Drosophila melanogaster: one gene and its partners. The gene in region 1 interacts genetically with each later gene. Each region holds a gene or a part of one and is shown in the gene's direction. Other genes may lie near its edges. The genes, in order: PlexA, SelR, Gyc76C and Ras64B.

Region 1 (4,613 bases):
ATTTGGTTGTCGTTTTTTTAGGGGTATTCGGCGGAAAGGCTGTACATATAGAATGGAATTTATAGTATACATGTATTATAGGCACTCGAGTTTTAATCCTACAAAGCACTTCAAAAAATTTTGCTTGAAATCTTATTTCCCTCCGTTATTAGTCGGTTGGGCATGTGCTTCTCAAAATATTTACTCGATCATTTAAATTTGAATTGGATAAGCAAGATTGTATCATAACGACGTCACGCCCAATCTAACGCCCACAATTTCTGTGGGCGTTGTGTTGTTATTTTGTTTTCATTTAATTATCTGTCATGATATTGACATACCACAAAAATTTTGCCACACCCAAACTGTTATGCCCACTCTTAAGAATTATTTTTCGATTTTATTTTATAAATTCTCTTGGCTGTTTCTATCGATTTGCCAAACGTATTTTAGCCACGCCCACTGTTCCCACTATCTGAATAACGGGTAAACCTTTTATTTCTGACATTTTAAGGCAGATTGTGGGAGGTAGGGTTAAACAACAAACGTTCTGCAACAATCTTGAAAAATGTGGCGTCACTTGAATCTACATGCTCTGAGCTCTCTAGAGTTCATAGTTCCGAAAATATCAATTCTCCATAAGTTTGTTCCTTTCTACATTTCTATTTTACGATTTAGGGGAATAAACTTTTGAAAAGTGCGTCAACGGTATCTTCTGACAGTTTCCCACAAGTTGTTGATATCCTGTTGTTTAACGTGAGATAGACGATTTATGGATAGAATTTACCTTAGTAGCGCCAAAAATACCGCAAACTGCGCACGCACGAAGCTGAGAATGTAAGCAGCCAATAGTGGAATACACTTCATGTGTACATGTGCAAATAAACACCCTGCAATTCAATTCATTTAACTTTTATCTATATGTCATTTCTTAGAAAAAATCTCTATTGCTAATCAGCCCTCAAAACAGTGAAATTATTGATTATTTTTTTTTCTTACTAACTAACTAAGTCTCTAACTACATGGTCATAACAACAATGCTTTAAATCAGATGTGTAAATATGCACATCTGCAGTCGGTGTCAGTTGAAGATATTTCAATAGGTCATAAAATGTGCACAAAGGCCAACAAAAAAAAGTTGTGCCATGAAATTTTAAATAACAAAATTATGCTTTGATACAGTTTGCGCACATATTTGCTGTGGATTGAGGAGCTGTTAGCATGAAATTCTTAAGTCCAATTTTTCAATTTACATTTTCATTGTGAACAGACCTTTATAGTCTCATCACACTATCGATATTAAAGAAAACGAATATATTAAATATATTTATTTCATTTTTTAATAATGCTCAAGGAAATTAGAGAGATAATAAATATTATCTGGCTTGGGAATCAAACCCCTTCCAAATTACTTTCGTACGAGTCATTACACAGTAACAACAAGACATTTTCCATGTACTCGTGAACATTACATTTTGAAGTGTGCCATCGGTTAATTTAGGTATCGATAGTGATAGGTATGAACGGGTCTTAGGACTAACAACTAGTTGTTTAATTCTCTCCTCTGCCTTATAGTATCGATAACATTTACATACAATGATGTGTAAATTAAAGTGTGGTGTAATTCGAAAATAGACAGAAATTATGTTCAGTGACTTGCGATGTAAAGAAATAATAGTTAATGAGTGAAATATAGGAAAACAAACAGTAAGCCGGATTTCCGATTGTTCACTAGAAAACTATCGCCGTTCCATAATTCAGATATACATACAAAATTGTCATTTTTTGCTAAATATTAAAAAAAGTGTAATAAAATCATTTAACGTTCCAGTGTATATTGCATTGCTTTAGAATTATTAAGAAAATACAAATTTTCTTTAACTGGTATACAACGTTGTATGTATGTAAAAATTAAAAACGGCCATGCAATCATTTTGTTTTATGTACTTAAGTATATATTATATTTATGTAAATAGTATTTTTAAAAAGTGTGGCTCTTATTTAAATACATTGTTAGCTGCGTTTCACACATACGAAATTAAATGCATCATGCATTGGGAAAGATAGCAGCAAAATAAAATTTGCTGTATATGATGTGCATGTGTATGCATATAAATATATACATTTTGTATAGATGTGTGTGCACCAGAATATCCCAAAAATTCCAAATGCAAAAGATCGAGTTTTACTTCTCTCAATAATCTTTGCCTAAAAACATTTAAACTAAGTGCACTTACATTTTACCGGTTTATTATATGTATTTAAATTCGGGCGCTGGCCAAATTTGTATGTATGTATGTGCAGTATGCATATATGCATTTGCAATGAAATTACCAAATATTGTGCACGCTCGCCCAAATTTGAAATCCTGGAATAGCCGTGAATATACTTTAAAACTACATAAATTCTCTATAACGAAATGGCTTGGAATAAGTGGCCTGAGTGCGAATATATGTAAGTGGAAAAAAATTGAACGTTTGGAACTGAATTTGTTCAAAGTTTTACAATTAATGTGTTAGGTAGAGGAAATTTTTTATTGCAAAAACGAGATATGCTTATATAGCATACATAGGAAACTCCTTAGCTTGGGATTTCCATTCCATTAATATTTATAGCATGATATGGATTCATGTTTAATATATATGTACAGTTGCGGTCAACATATTAGCGGCAGTAGCGGAATATATTTTGGTCGGTTATAGTCCTATTCGGAGACAGTAAATGGTAGAGCACGTTGGTTCATGAATTATGCTTTGGGTGAGATTTTCATATTAAGGAGTTGAGCCAGTATATCTGAAGCTCCATCTTCAGTTCCGTCACCGGGTTCTTGCTTTGCCGAACCAAGCGCTTGGATGCTTGGAGAGCATCCAAGTTGGACATTGAAGGCTTTCCTCGCCGCGTTTCGTTCTTTTCGACAAACAGCAGTGATTTGCGGATCATTTTGTTTGAACAACCGACAATGCGACCAATTTCAGCGTAGGTTTTACCTTCAGAGATCACGTTTTTAATCAAATTTCTTTTTTCGACGGTACAATGCTTTCCGTGACCCATGACTAGAGAATTTTTGGTCTTCGTTTGGAGCAAATTCAATTAAAACCTTTAATGCAACACCTTTTTTTCAAAATTTGTCGTAAAAAAAACCAAAGCAATCACTCCCATTAATTTTATTCAGCAAATACGTTTTCAGTGCTATTTTTGTTACCGCCTCATTTCGCGCACTTTTGCAGCAAGTGCCCAAAAACAAAAAGAACCGTTAAATTGAGAGACTAAAAATTTATTGCTCAAAGAGGCAACATATGGTACTTATTATTCATGCAATCTGGCTTAAAAAAAAAAAAATTTATAATTTTTTTTAGGATATCAATTTTCCACCTGCAGTAGTGCTATTATTTTAACCTTAACTGTAGTTTCAAAACTATTTGTACGACATCATTTTAAACTATGCGATAAACTACCCATGTTTCAGGGAAGTACACTTACAGCCAACCCACAGTTTTTGTTTTGACGTGATTAAATTTTTAAACTGAGTTTTTTTGGCTGTGAAGATTTTCAAAATTACGATTTATTGGGTGTTCACGAAATACATTTATAATCTATATGTAACAGCATTTCAATGTTTGGTGATCCACACAAATAGAATTCGAAAGAATACTATAGTCGAGTTCCCCGACTCAGATACCCGTAACTCAGCTAGTGTGAATGCGAACGCGAAATTGCTTTATTTTTCTGGGATATCAATATTAAGGAATAAAATGAGAAAAAATTTAAAATTTGTTTTAAAATGTGAGCGTGGCAGTTTTGCGCGGTTTTAGGGCGTTAGAGTGGGCGTGGCAACATAGGTTAACAAACTTTCGCTCCGTATTTGTCTTTAGAATCTGTATGCTGAATCTCAACCTTTTAGCTGATATATACAGCTGTGTTCATAAAAATAGCAGTGCTTGGGACTTGCGAGTTTAGGATAAAAAATCATATGATTTAAAGTTGTAATGGGAATTTTTTTCATAATTTTATTATTATATCAAACAATTCAACATATGTTTCACTTTTATTTTTTCAATAGATATAGATTAAAACAACATAATAGGCAGAAATTCTGGTGTTCACTGAAATAGCAGTGATATGAAAAAATAGTAACAACATGACTTAGAACTAACATAGTTTTTTTTTAATGTGTTAATTAGGGACTAATACCTGGTTGGATTGCCTTTTTTAGCCAGCACAGCCTTACACCTACTCGGCATGGAGTCCACGAGGACGTTTGGGGGAATTTTTGCCCATGCATCCTGCACAACTTGCCAAAGCTGAATCTTGGACATCGGGGAATTCTTCGACACGTATTGTTTAATGTCCCCCCACAGGTTTTCAATCGGGTTTAAATCGGATGATGGTGCTTGCCACGGCATTGCATCTATTCTATTTTGGGTGAACTTATTCTTAGCCGATTTGCTTCTGCGTTTCGGATCATTATCCTATTGGAATGTCCATTATAAGGGCATATTCCATTCAGCATATGGCAGTAAAACATCACTAGGTATATTTACATACCATTAATCATATGTATGGGACCCACACCGTTGTATGAAAAACAGGCCCATACCATATTTATGTCCACCGTGCTTAACATTCTTGAGTGT
Region 2 (7,109 bases), on another chromosome or scaffold:
CAAATAGATGACGAACAACTGCAGCAAGGCTATGCCCAGGGCAACGCCGGCAATCACATACAGATTCCTCTCGACCCATACTCGCACGATCTCGATGCAGCCGCTGGTCCAGATGCGCTTGCTGGCGGCGGCCACTGAACGCACCTGCACGCCATAGCCACACATGATGTTCACTAGGCCGGAGCTGATATCGGTGGCATTAATACAGCAGCTGTAGGGCACTCCACATCTCTCCACCGACGGCGATGAGCAGTTGAAGTACTCGTTCTTGCCTGTATGCATACGGACATGGAATTAATTCGTTTGTGGCTTATGAATCAAATACTCACTCCAATCCTGGTAGCCGGCGTTGCTCAGGCCGCAGCAGTTAAACTCCTGCTGGGCAAAGTCGATGAAGTTTTGCAAGTCGGAGTCGTCACGGTACGAGTGGATGATTTTGTCCGTGAACTGGTACTCGAGGAACGAGTTCATGTACTGCGGGAAAACGAAGCAGATGATGGCCAGCGACATCTCCAGTATGAAGAAGAGAAGCAGGCACATGGAGTACAGCTTTAGCAGCCAGGTGTTCTCGCGCAGCGCACCCAAACAGCCGGCGAAGCTGACCGTGAAGACGATGACTCCGGCGATGATCATCACCAGGGAGATGTTGAAGATCACATCGTAGATGGTGTCCAAGCGCAGCCAGCCATTGCCGTCCATCAGTTTGTCCATGAAGGCGTACACGCCGATGGCCAGGAGCAGGCCGCCGAAGAGCCAGAAGAGGAAGTTTAGCAGGAAGATCATGTACTTGACGCAAGAGGAAACGTAGCTGAAGTGGTGCGGATAGGTGGAGATCCGCGGGTGCATGTAGTTGCCCCCCTGATGGTATCTGTGATTGCTCATGGCCACGCGAATGTGCAAGTCGTGTTTTCAGCCGAGTATTTCGATGAGTATTACTTTTCCTGGTATTTTTGCCCAGGTTTCCTCCCCCACGGTTTTTTCTTTTTGTTGACGCCCTCTTTGCGTGTGGTCTCTTCAGCGGCCTGCACGGCTGTTTTGCTATAGTTTCGCAGTGCGTCAGTGGTGGACTGTCTAACTCTGGTGTTTCCCCGCAGCGAATATGATGAATTAACGCACTAGCTTAAATTTTATGACTGATAAGCAAATTTATGGAGCCACTAAAAATAACAAAGTGCCCGGCGTTGCCAGACGTGCTGTCCAATTAGGCAGCAGTTGGCAGCGCGGCCAGTCAGCTGTTCGCGTGACCGTACTGCCTTTGTTGCCTATCATCCAGCATTCGATTGGCAACGCGAGCCAGCCAGGTGTTTGATTTTCATCGCGTGCAGCTGTTTTCCCAAGCAGCTTTTTTTGTATTAGTTTTTAATTTTCCACCGCTGCGTAACATTGCGACGCACGCTTGTTTTCGCCCGCGTTTGGCGCATTCATAAACAAAAGGCCAAAAATAGAATCAGCACCATTTAGAGCGCTATTCAGCAGGTGAGTAGTTTTCCAGCTTAGAGAAAACCCAAGGACGCACCATTTAAGTGTGGGAAAATTAAGTGTTTTTTCTTTTCGGTTCTCCGCTGGTGACATTGAAGCACAATTGCGAGCGCATTTTCCCTAATTGAGTTGCGACTTTCTCTGCACTGCGCTTTCTCCTCGCCAAGCGTTCAAAAGCAGAAAAGCGCACGAAAATAGAACGGAAAATGTGGGAAATGTGGTAGACGGAAGTGGCAACGCGAATTGCATAAATATTAGTTAGTACGCGTGGGCAGTGCGCAGTGGACAAAACATTGACTTTTCCTCCTTGCTCTGCTCATTTTCCCCCTGTTGCTGTGCTGATTAAATAACCAGGCAGTGCCAAGTGCAGTTGTCACCTGAAATTAGCCACATAATGTTTGCACTTTCTGCTCGCCACGCACTGCGGCGCACTCGAATATTCGCCATTCCACGCTTTTTCGCAGGTGAGTTGCACTAAAAAGTCGCAGGTATAGTTTGTAATACCTGTGGGCGTGTCAGCCCATGCTCATCGATTGGCCATCGGCTAATTTTAGACACAATTTGAGTTGATTTTTTTATACATTTGCATTCTATATGAACGCAATTTAGCCGCTATTTTCTGACTTTGCTCGCAATGAATTCATTGTCTTCAATTGCCCGCGACACACTTGGCTGGCTTTTCTATTGTTGCACTCGGAAAAACCGAAAATAAAAGGTGACTGCTCCACCTACGCTATTCGATTTTCGGTTTTTTTTTCGGCTTTTCCTTCGCCTTCGTTTGCTTTGGGCGCCACTCCGTTTGATTGACGGCGGGCAAGCAGCATAAAAAGCCATAAAACTATTTTTGGCCCAATGCGTTTCTCCACTCCATTTGTTGGCCGCACTTAACAAATCTGTTTACACCTTCATTAATTAGCAGGCAAGTTTGTATACAAAATTGGTGTTACTAATTCCCTGGATGCACAACTTTGATTTTGAGTTTTCAAGATTGTTAACAAATTGTTTAAGAAAATGATAAGTATTTTCTATATTTTGTACGCTATATATAGCTTTTGTTTAATATTGGAATAAGAATATTTATGTATATATTTCCTTATCAAATTGGGTTCCAAAAATGCCAAAAATTTTCTTCATATAATTCATTTTCATAAATGGTATGGTATCGTTTGTATGAGAAAACAAGATGATTATGAGTTTCGAGAAAGTATTTTCAGCAACTCATGGCTGATAGTAGTAAGCTTCTTATCGTCAGATGGCCGCATTCAAATAAGCGAGTTGAGATTGCCCAAGGTTTCGTTGAAAGTCCCACCGATAAGTGGGCAGATTATGAGGGAAATCTTACAGAAGCTTGACGAAATCCCCTACTCAGTTTCCATTACCCAACTGCTGGCGAACCGAAAAGCACACTCAAACCGACCCGACCGCAAATCAAATACCAAAGTATTGTATTGCATTCCAGATTCACGCCAAGACAGCGACAATCCGGACAAAAGGTATTCCGGACCAGCAGCGACTATGGATAACAAGAGCGAGAAGGTTACGGTGAACAAGGAGGAGCTGCGCAAGCGCCTGACCCCGGTGCAGTATCAGGTTACCCAGGAGGCGGGCACCGAGCGACCCTTCACAGGTGAGTCTCTCCTAACAAAACATGCAGCCATAAGCCATTATCAAGATGGAACGCCACCCCTCGAACAAAGTGCATTCAATTCTGATTCCCAAATGATGGAATGCAATGTCCACAGGTTGCTACAACAAACACTACGAGAAGGGCGTGTACCAGTGCATCGTGTGCCACCAGGATCTGTTCAGCTCGGAGACCAAGTACGACTCGGGATGCGGATGGCCGGCCTTCAACGATGTCCTAGACAAGGGCAAGGTCACGCTGCACCGCGATGCCAGCATACCAGGTGCGTATTGGCCAGGCGGCCCACTTTTGGCCAAGACCTTGCTCGGCACTTTTAGCTGTTGATTATTGCAAAGCGTTTTGAGTTATGTTTTTATTTGAGTTGCTGTTCCGTTGCCGCACCCAAGAGTTGAGAATTTCATTTGCGTTTATCCACCTAGGAGACAATATAACCCAGACTAGAGTAATTATTCGCCTAGTTGTCATGTGTGAATAAGAGCAATCATAAGATTACCAAGTTTATAAAGAAGCCTTGATAACGATTAATTGTAGAGTTATATAAGCATATAAACATATACATATGTATATTTCATATTTTGGTATGACCTTCAGCTTGATTGTTTTCCATTTCTAAAGAAAATGGTGTGCATAAGTCATTGTAAAGAAATAAAATCATAAAGTGAGATGTTTATAAGAAGAGGCTTATTAGTTAATGGCTTAATTAAACCTTATAAACCCATTAGCTAATATTATTCATTTAAAGTCTGTGCTGTTTGTGTTGCCTTGTTTGTTGCTTTGTTTCGTGTTTAAAATCTGATCTTGAACCCGACCCCAAAACTGTTCCACTGCCCAGAGTTCACTGTAGTTGTGCCGTTGGCCTTGCCATTGTTGTGTTACTGTGTTTAGTCTTGTGCCGGTGATTTGTGACTAGTGAGTGTTCCTGCTGCCGTTGCAGCACCTGAATGTGCAACAAAGCGAGAAGAAGCGACTAAAATTGATTCCTAACCGAGTATTGTGTTCTCTTATCCCACTCTTCTATCCCGCCTGACTTTCTCAACATTTCTTTCTTTCTAAAAAAAAACCACATGAAATACAACTAATGCCATATCGATTCCACCCGAATATCACCCACGAGTATCACTTGTAAACCGATTAAACCAACAGTAGTCATTTCGAAAACGCTAGGCATGGTGCGCACCGAGGTGCGCTGCTCCCGATGCTCCGCCCATATGGGCCACGTCTTCGATGATGGACCGCCGCCCAAGCATCGACGCTTCTGCATCAATTCCGCGTCCATCGATTTCGTGAAGAGTGCGACGCCATCGAAGGCGGATCCATCGACGGCCTCGTCCAAGAAATAATGACCGATCTGCCTGCTAACCACAAGGAATACCATTACACCCGGAGGAGTAGCCCCATATAGACCAGCGGTAGATGCTACTCCGGGTCTATAGAGGGCTGCAGGTCCAGCAAAGAAAGATATTTAGCTATTTTATAGGCGTTTATTATGCAAAACTGTTTAACGAACAAAAAAAAACATAGCTTATACACAAGAACGATGTTTGAAAATGTATTGCGGAACGAGGAGTGAGAGTTTAGTATTGTAGTTCAGCCCAGCAGATTCCATTTGCTATATACTTTTCCTACTTTTACCCTATGTATGTTTCGGTTTCAAATCTCTATCTCTATATTATAACTTTATAAAGTTTACGAAAGTTTTATGAACGGAAATGCGAGTCTACAGTTCCTGGCCTGGGTTTATGCACTCTTTTCGGTTTACAATCTCACTCACTGTGTAGATGAACTCTACTTCTCAAAAGTATCTCCCCTTGCATTCTCATCGTATCTATAGGATATGTATATTGTACGTTAATAAAAATTAACCCATTTTGTAGGAACTTACGTGCTTAGCAAGAAGTTAAGTTTTGCGCAAGGTTATCATTTATTTTGGGATAAGACGAGGGTTCCTTTAGTTAGTTTATATGTTTTTCTTTTCGGTTAAGTGCAATTTTCATACATATTTCGGTTTTGAATCTACATAGATCATTGAGCTTTTTCCACATACCATATTTCGATCATTATACAAGGTCGATTGGATTTATTTTTGGGCCAGGGCCATTATGTGTATGTCTGTGTGAATGTGGTGCTTTTATTTTAAAATATTATTTTCCGGTGCTGTATTTGGTTATTTGTATGATTTCGATTTACGTTTTAGTTTGTTGCTTTTTACTCACGCTCAATTTTCTTTTGATTTCAATAACATAACCCGAATACTTTAACCAACATTATATCCATAAACTATATAGAGTGTTTTAAACAATCCAAATAATGTGTATTTTCGTATATTTTCTATTTCTCTTTTTTTAACTCGCTTCAAAAACAAAAAAAAAACTAAATGTACAACGCCTGTAAACGTTTTTTGGGGGTTTGTTTTGCTAACCAAAAACACGAAAACATTTAACTCATCGCTGAAATTATAACACCCGAAAAAACGACACATGAAATGCTTAATTAACCAAAATAACATGTACGCCAAATCGTTCGGAAAATCATCTATATTCCTGATTCGTCAATTATTTTCACCGGTTTATGTGACTTCATTTCATATTGTTTCACCTGCCACCCATTGTTAATTATCGCTCTCTCTCTCTCTCTCTCTGCTGCATCTCCTCCTTCGCTCTCTGATTTGCACTCCCATTTATTTGCCGTTATTTCTTCGCTCTTTTCTGTGATTCTTTCTCTGCTTCACATTTATCACCCATTTCACAATCAATTTTCTATTTCTGTTTGATTTGTTTACACCGAAAAACTTTGAATTAACCTTGCAAAACGATCAAAAAAATGAATATATTGTAAAAAATGTCAACAAAATGCGCTACACAACAAAAAAAAAAAACAACAATCAAAACGTATCCAATTAATCCCACGAAATGGCAAAATACAAACTAAATAGGGGGCAATATTTTACTACTAATCGCACATCCAGAACGTATACGCACTGAGGTCCGCTGCGCCCGCTGCAACGCCCACATGGGTCACGTCTTCGAGGATGGTCCGAAGCCGACCCGCAAGCGCTACTGCATCAATTCCGCCTCCATTGAGTTCGTGAACGCGGATCCCGCCACCTCGTCCCCGCCCGTGGCCACGCCCACCGCGGCGCCCATTGCCCAGCAGTGATGCCGAGGATCAACCGCCAAACGGAGGAGGCAAGCCTCAGAGTGTCGTTGCTGTTAAGAAATTTTTCTACGTGTACTTTCTAACTTTCCGCAAATGTGGCCAATTTTAGCTCGTAGTCAAGTCAATCGCCCCTCTGTTTGTGTAAATAGCTAATGTTTTGGTTCGAAATTTGTTCGTTAATTTATACAAACCCAAATACCGAATACTCTGTAACCCCACACATTCAACACAGTACTAATTTTAAAGTGAGCGCGCTAAATAAACGTGTGTTTTTTACAATAAAACGGTGCTTGCATGTGTTGTGTTTTTGCAGTTGTCACTATTAATTTGAACGTAGTTGTTAGTGCCGACCAGGTGAGAACGGAACAGCTGAGCCGCGTTGCCAACTACGTCAGTTGCCTTCCCTTGTTTGCGCAAAACAGATGCTGCGCCGCAGTTGTTGTTGACGTGACGTAACGACCGGCGACGCAACAACATGAAATCGAATTTATTTATGGCTCGGAAGTCAATTGATTTTAATTGCAGTCGCCGTATAAGGTGAATTTAAATGTTTATTAGCCCGAAGTGATGTGCTGGCGACAAATCGATAACAGCGAATGGGCCGAGTATGCGATCGTTTGATTTTGAAGTGCGACACGTGTGTAGGGTGACTGGAGAACTTTTAAACTGGACCACCCACCTGTGCGTTCCACATGCGATTGTTTGCTTGTGACTTTCAAACCGCATTGTAAATTCGCAATTATCTAACAGCGATTTCAGTGTAAATACAATTCGGGCACGTCGAAGTGATAATTTCGGATTCGCGTCGCGAAGAGATTAGATTTGAGCA
Region 3 (4,669 bases), on another chromosome or scaffold:
GCACTGGCGAAGAGTGCTCGCTTTTCACGTGCGGCTGTTGCTCGACGGATTGCGGCTGCTGATCCACGGACTGCGTCTGCTGGGTATGCGTTCGAGGCTCGTCCAGCAGCATGTTGTACATCTGCGTCGGCGCCAGGTCCATGTCGTTGAGGATGATGTCCAGCATGTCCGAGTGCAGGTCGGCGTCGAACGGTTCGAAGACATCCTCCGCTTTGAACAAATCCATGGACTCGTCCAGCGGAGCGTCTATTAAGTTCATCAGTGTCGTGTCCATTGCGAATGCTGCTGATGAAAGGGACAAAAACGGTTCGTAATTAAATACTGGCGGGCCCACGTATGTGCATATTTATGTATGTATGTTTGTACATTTGAGGATTGTTTATTAAAGTTCTATGCGGCGCAATAACAACAGTGGGACAAGTATGTTGGTGCCGGAAAAAACAAATATTAATATGTTTATAATCACATTAATTCATTTAATTACCCTTTTTCCACAGTGGCCACTTGCAGCTTTAATAACAGATTAAAAGGGGTTTTTATAATTAAATTTGTAATATACGTAACAAAGTTAAAATAAATCTTTTAATTGTACTCAAACCTAAAGTGAATCACAGTCGGACCTGAAAATGGCATATGTGTTAACTTGTTTTTGTTTGTTTGTTGTTTGCTCGTAGTTAAAATAGGAACAAAATATAATATCTTGAGATCATTTTGGCTATATCAAGTTTTGCTAGACTAATGCAAATTGCAATAGAGGCGAATATTTTTAAACGGTCTAAGCTTTTACTTCGCTTTTGGCCCACTGTGCACTGCACACACACATACGCGACCGGGAAAGCATGCGTAAGCGCTTTCAACCAATCAGAGGGCTCGACCGGATCATACGATGTTTTTAGTGACGCCACTTGGCCTTTGGGAGCTCCAACAGGGCATTTTCCCAGGCTCCACTGGTTTCCCGATCTGATTTCCGCGAAAATTAATCTATTAGACACTATCTACATTATTAGCAGAAAAAGAAACGCACCTTTACCACCTTCTATCTGTTTTCTTAGTTCACGTGTGCTTTTGTTTTTCCATAACTGGTTAATGTCAACGCACTTTGCTTTAAACTAGCGACTAGTTAGTAATAGTTGCAACACTTGTTGTTCATGGTTGTTTTGATTTTTTTCACGAGTATATTTGCAGCTTAATAAACAATTGCTTTCGATTGCAGTAAACTTTGTTCTTCAGGGATGACGAGCAGTAGTTCGGGCCTAAGGAACTGGTTCAGGTCTTGACTCCCTGGCATCAAGAAACAGCTGTATTACTTACAATGCCTGTATAGAAATATATATATTTAATAGTTTATGATGTATTTTATAAAACTGCCATAAAATATCAACGCTGATTCTGACACGCAGAGTAAGGAAATAAATTCAACATGTATAAGTGTAATTTAAAATATGCGGTTGTCCTCGCTGAGCGTGGTGGATGTCACCGCTACCTACATTCAAGAGAATAATTAAGAGAGCGCCAGAGCCGTGTGACCGCGCTAGAATTACTTAAAAATACCAAGGAATGTTGAAGACAAAAAGTTCCGGTAAATTGGCACAACGCACTGGCCACACTGCTACATCACATATTCAAAATCGGGTAGGTAGTCGCGACGGAAAACGGGAAACGCGGACGAATCGCGGAGCCAGAGAAGCGGTAAATTCGAAATAACCGTTTGGAAAGAGCAACATGATGAGGTTCTTTATTCGTTTTTAGTAAAATGGTACAAAGTGAATATGTGATTTAATTGATAACCAGCATGGGCGCCGTCAGTGTTAATTGCGTTCTGAATTGCTCTTTCGAAAACGCAGACACAAATGCACACACACAAAGTAGCGGCACCCACACGATCGCAATGGCAAAAGTGCTGCAGTGATAAAACAAATGCACAGCCATAAAGGCAAAGTCGGAAAAGTTTCACAATGCACTGGCGGCCCATGCATAAAAATGTACAATTTGGCGCTCTTTGCACTTGTCACGTCGTTGGAAAAGCAAAAAAACCTACCAACCAACAACAATAGGAACATAAACTGAAACAAAAAGAAAACCATTTTTGCTTCGCGCTTTTGTTTTTGTTTGGACCGCCGCTCACGCACTTTCGCGCTCACACGCAGAAACTTTTTGCATTTGTTTTCTTCACCCGTTGCATTATCACAACAACTGATCTCCTCTGCCCTCTCTCTGATGCTCTTGCTCACACTTGTTCGCTCTGTCTCGCCAGGGTTGCCATTTTCGACCGACAAACTTGCACTTGCTACTATGAATAACCTTTAAAACGGTTTTATTTTGGCACAATCTTAGGATTTATTTACGATTTTTGCGATTTACCGCATTTGCTGTCTGCAACAGTTTACATTTTTGTTTACCTTTACGGTCGCCAATTGGAAATACTAACTGCAAATTTGGTTGCCTTAAGTGTAGGTGTATTGTTTTCAATATAGACGAAGCTTATTTATATCAAATGCCTATTATTTAAATTAAACTGAAAACATTCAACCAACGGTCATCAGGAAAAGTATCTTAAGAGGACTATTTCACTACTAAATCCTATTTTTTATATTTCTACTTCACCTTAGCTTATCAAAATCTTTATAAATCCGATTGTATGTATGATGCAGCATAATTTTATTATTCTCGGTAATATATGGATATGCTTCAAATCCAAATATACAGACTTTATTTATTCAATAAATTAGTTTAACCTAATGTTAAACTAAATATAAAATAACTAAAATTAGTTTAACCTAATGTTAAACTAAATATATTACCGAACGCTGTGATTATGACTCTGTTATTTACCAACTGTCTTGCAACTTGGAAATATTCCTGTATTAATCATTTCCTATTTTCCTTGATACAAAAGAGCCTTTATTTCACTGCAATATTGAGTCATCCAACAAGCTGTTGTTGTAGATTTGGTCCGATTTTTCTATTTCTTCTTCTGACTGTTCTCATACTCTCTGTGCTTCTGTTTCTCCGGCTTTCTGCATAAATTACATTTTCCGTTTGGACTTTGCCAGTTTTGCTAGTGTTAGCACCTCCTTGGCGAAAAGTTTCCAACGGAAATTGTCAGCAGAAAATGAAAAACTCCCATGTAAATACTCCGCAAACGCACACACGCACGAGCTCAGCGGAATACACACCAATACACACGCACACACTAGCAGCGGCAGCGCTTAATAAAGATTAACGCATTTCTTATCAAGCGGTGATAGCGGGCAAAGAAGATGGAGAGAGCCGAAGCGAGACAGAGCACTAGCACTGCGACAGCATTTGAGCTTCGCTTTTCGCACACCCGATAGAGCGGCATAGAGTGGGAAAGGGATGGAGACAGAAGGAGACAGTGATATCTTTTCTCTGCCTGATTAGCAGTAGCAGCGTCTAGTTTTTCTCGTGTTATTTATTTGTTTTCTGCTCTCCGCCGCCGCTCCCGTTGCCTCTCCCTCACAGCAGCCGCCTTCGAACGCCGACGCTGCCTGCTTTATTTTCGCGCCGCTGCTGATAAAATAAAGAACAATATTAATTTAAGTTTAAAAATAGAATTCGCTGCAGATGCCCATTGCATGAATGTGTGCGAGCGGGAGAACGAGAGAACTGATTTCGCTCTCCCGCTCTCTTACAGCACACACATGTTGATCCGCAGCGGCAGCGTCAATTACTGTTCTCATATCATCTCCGAGAGCACGGAAATCAGTGATGGCAAGTGAGAGGAGCAAATCTTTGGCGGATAGCAAAAACCGCTAAGTGTGTGGCAGTCAACGCTACTTTTCTTAGTATAGTACTTAGTTATACCTTTTATCGTGCAATTTTTAAATGAGGACTATGTTTTTCCAAAATGTATCTGCTCAATATAATTTGACTATTTATCTTTTAATCCATTTAAACCTAGTTTTAAAAATTTTAAAAAAGTGTTGATAATATATCTTGATGGATATCTTTCGGATATCCTACACTGAGCGAAACTAAAATTGTTTGATAAAGCGTCCTCATATGCCTACCTTAACACAGTGAAAAAAGCCAAAGTGCCATCTCTGGGAGCATGCGGTGTCGCTCGCCCGATTTTCGTTTGGGGCTTTCAGTATTATTCTATTCTCCTGCGCCCCAAGTTGTTTTTTCGGATCGGCAAAGCCGCGTGCGCCCCATCGCACTCTCGCACACACACATACGCACTCACAGAAAAAGATATTATGCATACATATGTATGTTTAATATATATATTTCTCTGATTGGATTGGGGCAAAAACAAAACCCAAAGAGTGCGAAAAAGGTGAAAAAAGTAAAAAGCCGAATAGAATTTCGAATAAAATCCAGTGCGGTTTGTGTTAATAATTATTATTGAATGAAAAACAAATTCCGACAAATGTGTTAACAAGAGTGTTCGCAGCCGCAGCGCCATAAATTTTACAACAATACGGGGAAAAAATCGAAAAAATAACGAAAACTGGAATTTGTGATAATTGTTTTTCGGGCCAGTCAGCGAGAGGGAGAGCAGTGCAAAGATAACAGATTTGTTTTGTTTCCCTGATAAGCCACTCTACTGATACAGCGGTGTAATTTTGGACACTCGAACCTTGTCATATTAACTTGCTTATTTGACTATAAATTCCGAAAATAATACTCAAACACTTAGAATTTG
Region 4 (4,662 bases), on another chromosome or scaffold:
GCGGGCACTGGTTGGGGCATGATAATTGGTATTTTGGGCCCTGCCCTCGAGGAAGGGGAAGTGGCGGAGATCGAGCTTATCCTCTATGCAATCCTCCATGATGTCCTTGATCACCGGTGTCCAGCGGGACATCTGGTAGGTGCTTTCTGTGGTGCGCTCCTTGCGCGGCACCGAGTACTGCTTCTTGCGCGAATCTGCAATGACATTGATGCCCAAGCAACTAAGGTTACGCACCATATCCTGATCCTTCGGCGACAGCTGGGCATGCGTAAACAGCTTGGTCAGGTTCTCCTCGGAAATTCCGTTCTTGATCATGACGTACAGGGCAATGATGCGAACCTTGTCGTAGTTCGAGACATTGGCGTCCAGCAAGATGGGCACAATGTTGCGCATATGATCCTTGATCTTTTCGCCCTCGGCGTCCGTGCCCATGGCCAGATCCTGTTCCACGCGGCACAGCTTGTCCACGTAGTTCTGGTACGACTTCATGCAGTCCTCGGCCAAATGCAAGTGGGTGGAGTACTTGGACAGCTCCTTCTGGTACTGCGGCATCTTCTTGATCATCTGCGAGAGATCGCGCATCGACGACTTGTCAGCCGAGCCCATGCGCTTAGAGTCGGTGAATTTCTTAAGGTTCTGAGTCACCTGGGTGGAGACCACAGCGATATGCTCGTGACGCAGCTCCACCCACAAGTCGTCGTTCTCGTCGAGCAGCACCTCCTTATCCGGCTGGTTGGGGCCGGGCGTGTAGCGATACACGTCATTGACGATGGGTAGCAAATCGTAGGCCATGGCCTGCAGGGTGAGCTCGTGCAGCAGCGGCGACACGCAGTCGAAGCCGCGATCCAGGATCAGCAGCTGGGATCGTGCCTTCTCGGGGCCCTCGCCCATGGTGGCATCGTCGGCCTTGTAGGCGTCCAGCTTCTGCTGCACCGACGCGGCCAAATCGATGTTCCTGTCCCAGTCGCTGCGGTAGCGCACATTTGGGTACTCCCCAAGGGTAGCGCACAGTGTGGCTATTTGCTCGGCAATTCGCTCGATGTGCTTGCTCCGAATGGAGGCAAAGGCCGGCGAGTAGAGGCATTGGAATGTGTCCGGCGAGTCCAGCGAGAACACCTGGCATTCGTATGGCAAAAATGCAATGTTGATCTCCTTCAGCGTCTTGATCTTTCCGGCCGCGCACGACTTGCACAGATCGTTGAATAGCTCCTCGGGACAAACTTCGGTGAAGAAGACATGGGCATAGCGATACATGGGCCGCGCTGGGTTCTCGAAGTCTCGTATCAGACCGCGCACTGACTCATCCGACGGCGTAATCAGATAGATCGCGTCCATCGTGGGCAGCGGCTCGCGCTTCTTGTTGATGTCCTCAACCAGGGTGATGCCCTCGGCGCTGATTTCGTGCATCTTGGTGCAGGCGGACACCATGCGCATACCCAGCTTGTCCACCACCAGCACCCGCCATTCCATGCCGCCCGCCCCCGCAGCGGACGTAACGCCCTGCTTTTTGGGTGGTGGAGGCTTGTACTTCACCACCTCGTTCATCAGCTTTTGGCCCACCAGCACTTTCAAGGCCATTTTCACTGCGTTTTATTGGTCACGGGCGCAAAGGCAACTCGATTATGAACACACTGCGTGTAAATATGTCTTTTTAGCTTATTCCGTTCGCTTTTTCGCGTGGGCTAACTTGACTTAAAGAATTTTATCTATTCCTTGGCCAATTTTTCTGTATTTTTTTCGTTTGATGACTTAGCCTTAGTGATGGGCGAAAGTCGATTGCTGGCTAGCGATAGTTGATATCGATATTACTGTCTAGCAGAGACGCGCACCCGTCTCAGTGCGAGTGTGGATTTCTCAGTTAACCGAGAACGGTCACGCTGCTGCTGTCGAGGAAGGAAAATAAAATAATTTTGCTGGCCAACTGGTCGATTTAAACGGGGAAATGCAGATGCAAACGTACAAACTGGTGGTCGTCGGCGGCGGCGGCGTGGGCAAGTCAGCGATAACGATACAGTTCATCCAGGTAAGCCGCCCAGCATCGGCCCAATCCCTGGTGACGTCGCTTTCCACAGGGGCGTTTGAATGTGGGAGTGGGGGGCGATGGCGCACAGGGGCGGTGGCAGGGGGACGGCCCTTGTTTTGGCCAGAGCAACAAACAAGCAACAAGCGACTGTGATGTGCGTCTGTGTTTGGACATGCGTGTGCATAGTTTCGGGCCGAGATCATCACCAACACAATCATCATCATCATCATCATTGGCAGCATCATCATCGCGGTGGCCACACCCCCGTGTGTATCTCCAATTGGGGATCAAGTGGTCAGAGCCCAGAACCAGGGAGTTGCGTTAGACGCAGCCCCCAGTTTTCTGGGTGTGCCGATCGATTCCCCGAGAGTTTGTGCCATGGTCACGACCACAATGACCGCCCGCTTCCATTTATTTTTAGTCATTTGCGTCATCTGCACATCTTTCGTGTATATGCTGTAGCTTTTCCCCAAGATATATAGAGCATAGTGGATAGTGAATGATAAAAGTGACGTGTGTAAACAAATCAAAGGCGGAATGATAAACGCACCCCGCCCACATAAAAAACCCAGTCTTATAATGTTTATATATGTAGTTTTGTGGCCTCGGCAGCTGGCGGTACAATAATTTTAATCCTAATCTTGCAGAGCTACTTCGTCACGGACTACGATCCCACCATTGAAGACTCGTACACGAAGCAGTGCAACATCGACGATGTGCCAGCCAAATTGGACAGTAAGCTTCCTTTCTTTACCCTTACCAGATTCATAATAACCTGATATTTTACCTAGTTTTGGACACGGCTGGCCAGGAGGAGTTCAGTGCCATGCGGGAGCAGTACATGCGCTCCGGCGAGGGATTCCTGCTCGTCTTCGCGCTCAACGATCATTCCAGCTTCGATGAGATCCCCAAGTTCCAGCGCCAGATACTGCGCGTCAAGGATCGCGACGAGTTCCCCATGCTGATGGTGGGTAACAAGTGCGACCTGAAGCACCAGCAGCAGGTGTCCCTGGAGGAGGCGCAGAACACCAGCCGCAACCTGATGATCCCCTACATCGAGTGCAGTGCCAAACTGAGGGTCAACGTCGATCAGGCCTTCCACGAGCTCGTGAGGATCGTGCGCAAGTTCCAGATCGCCGAGCGTCCCTTCATCGAGCAGGATTACAAGAAGAAGGGCAAGAGGAAGTGCTGCCTGATGTAGAAGGAACTAAATGGAAGAGAATCTCCTGAATGCCGCAGCGGAAGCAGGAGCCAACATATAATGATTATAACACCAAATTTTTTGAAAAACACGCGTCGACTGAGCTTTGAATTCCGTTGAGAAGACGATAAACCAGTAACCCGAAACCAGTAACCGCACAAAACGTGTCAACGAGCCCAAACGAAGTGCATTTCTTACCTGCCCAGGTGCATGGCGCATTCAACGAACGAATCGAATAAACTTCGCCACTCTCAAATAGCTACGAAGAATCTTACAACTGACAACTAACAATGCAAAATGCAAACAGAAACACGAAACATAGGTAGATATATACAACAGATTCACACGAATAACTTATATATACATATATATTTCTACATATATTTTTGTAATATTATTTTGTTGATCAACGACAACAATTAAGGACGAATGTTTTCATGATTATTACCAATCGTGGCTCGCAGGCCATTTGTTTTTATAATGCAATAACTAAGCCCAGAACGTTTGTTTCGATTAAGCCAAAACGTAATAATGTGTTATTGTAATTTGTATTGTTATTTACTACTAATATATACGTATACATATATTAACTGCTTACAAACCGATTTTGTTGTAACAAATTGAGTGCCTCGTTCTCGCGCGTAGAAATCTAAAACATCAAACTCTGTATTACACCCACGGCATTTTTGTACTATACCCGCAGCTGCCAGGCGCGCACAACTCACTTAACGATACTTTTGTACATGTCCCCAGTCGGATCCGGATCCTATGGTTTATTGTTCGCCAAATGTATTGCAACAGTTGCTTTAGCCGCAATCTTGTTTTAACTCTTATACACTGCTTAATTTAACGAACTTATTTAATGGTATATAAATAAATATATAATTAAATTTAAAATTAAACATATGCGCAATTCTAATAAACACATGGAGAATCACAAACGCTTCCACATAGAAGATTGTTTCAATGACGCTCTCGACTGGAATTGAAAATTCCGACCCAATCCAAGCAATTATAGAAAGAATCCTTGCTAGTGCTGTGTTAATTACTTACCAGCTGTCTTCCCTTCGAGCTCAATGGGTATAAAAGCGGGCTGAATCGAAGTGGACCAGCATAGAACTCAGAATGAATCCCAAGAGCGAAGTCCTCATTGCAGCCGTGCTCTTCATGCTGCTGGCCTGCGTCCAGTGTCAAGTGAGTGAATTCATATCCCGCTGCAGGATATCCCTTTCTGATGTCTCATTTTATTTTCCTCTATATAGTTGACCTTCTCGCCGGATTGGGGCAAGCGTTCGGTGGGCGGAGCTGGTCCTGGAACCTTTTTCGAGACACAGCAGGGCAACTGCAAGACCTCCAACGAAATGCTGCTCGAGATCTTCCGCTTCGTGCAATCTCAGGCACAGCTCTTTCTGGACTGCAAGCACCGCGAGTAGATAGC

What was found.
Region 2: of PlexA (region 1) and SelR, changing one suppresses a phenotype caused by changing the other (phenotypic suppression), as found in Drosophila melanogaster (one study listed by BioGRID).
Region 3: of PlexA (region 1) and Gyc76C, changing one suppresses a phenotype caused by changing the other (phenotypic suppression), as found in Drosophila melanogaster (one study listed by BioGRID).
Region 4: of PlexA (region 1) and Ras64B, changing one suppresses a phenotype caused by changing the other (phenotypic suppression), as found in Drosophila melanogaster (one study listed by BioGRID).

Annotation. Positions count from the first base shown.
Region 1 is NC_004353.4:1,024,036-1,028,648, reverse strand, and holds the start of PlexA (plexin A), read left to right. Parts: upstream 1-1,547; 5' UTR 1,548-1,686; exon of another isoform or gene 1,687-1,879; intron 1,880-2,113; exon of another isoform or gene 2,114-2,433; intron 2,434-4,613.
Region 2 is NT_033777.3:10,862,806-10,869,914, reverse strand, and holds SelR (selenoprotein R), read left to right. Parts: upstream 1-1,624; 5' UTR 1,625-1,873; coding exon 1,874-1,943; intron 1,944-2,938; coding exon 2,939-3,106; intron 3,107-3,221; coding exon 3,222-3,386; intron 3,387-4,267; coding exon of another isoform or gene 4,268-4,464; exon of another isoform or gene 4,465-6,028; intron 6,029-6,056; coding exon 6,057-6,280; 3' UTR 6,281-6,560; downstream 6,561-7,109. Other genes in the region: Tsp86D (tetraspanin 86D), read right to left, coding at 1-272, 330-882. UniProt on the Drosophila melanogaster protein: Methionine-sulfoxide reductase that specifically reduces methionine (R)-sulfoxide back to methionine.
Region 3 is NT_037436.4:19,790,515-19,795,183, reverse strand, and holds the start of Gyc76C (guanylyl cyclase at 76C), read left to right. Parts: upstream 1-1,614; 5' UTR 1,615-1,756; intron 1,757-3,573; exon of another isoform or gene 3,574-3,736; intron 3,737-4,142; exon of another isoform or gene 4,143-4,300; intron 4,301-4,669. Other genes in the region: SREBP (sterol regulatory element binding protein), read right to left, coding at 1-274. UniProt on the Drosophila melanogaster protein: Guanylate cyclase involved in the production of the second messenger cGMP.
Region 4 is NT_037436.4:4,137,237-4,141,898, forward strand, and holds Ras64B (Ras oncogene at 64B), read left to right. Parts: upstream 1-1,839; 5' UTR 1,840-1,942; coding exon 1,943-2,023; intron 2,024-2,670; coding exon 2,671-2,758; intron 2,759-2,814; coding exon 2,815-3,224; 3' UTR 3,225-4,162; downstream 4,163-4,662. Other genes in the region: Rop (Ras opposite), read right to left, coding at 1-1,578; Akh (adipokinetic hormone), read left to right, coding at 4,350-4,418, 4,487-4,657. UniProt on the Drosophila melanogaster protein: May be involved in endocytic processes and/or other transport pathways mediated by vesicle trafficking. May interact functionally with ROP protein. Ras proteins bind GDP/GTP and possess intrinsic GTPase activity.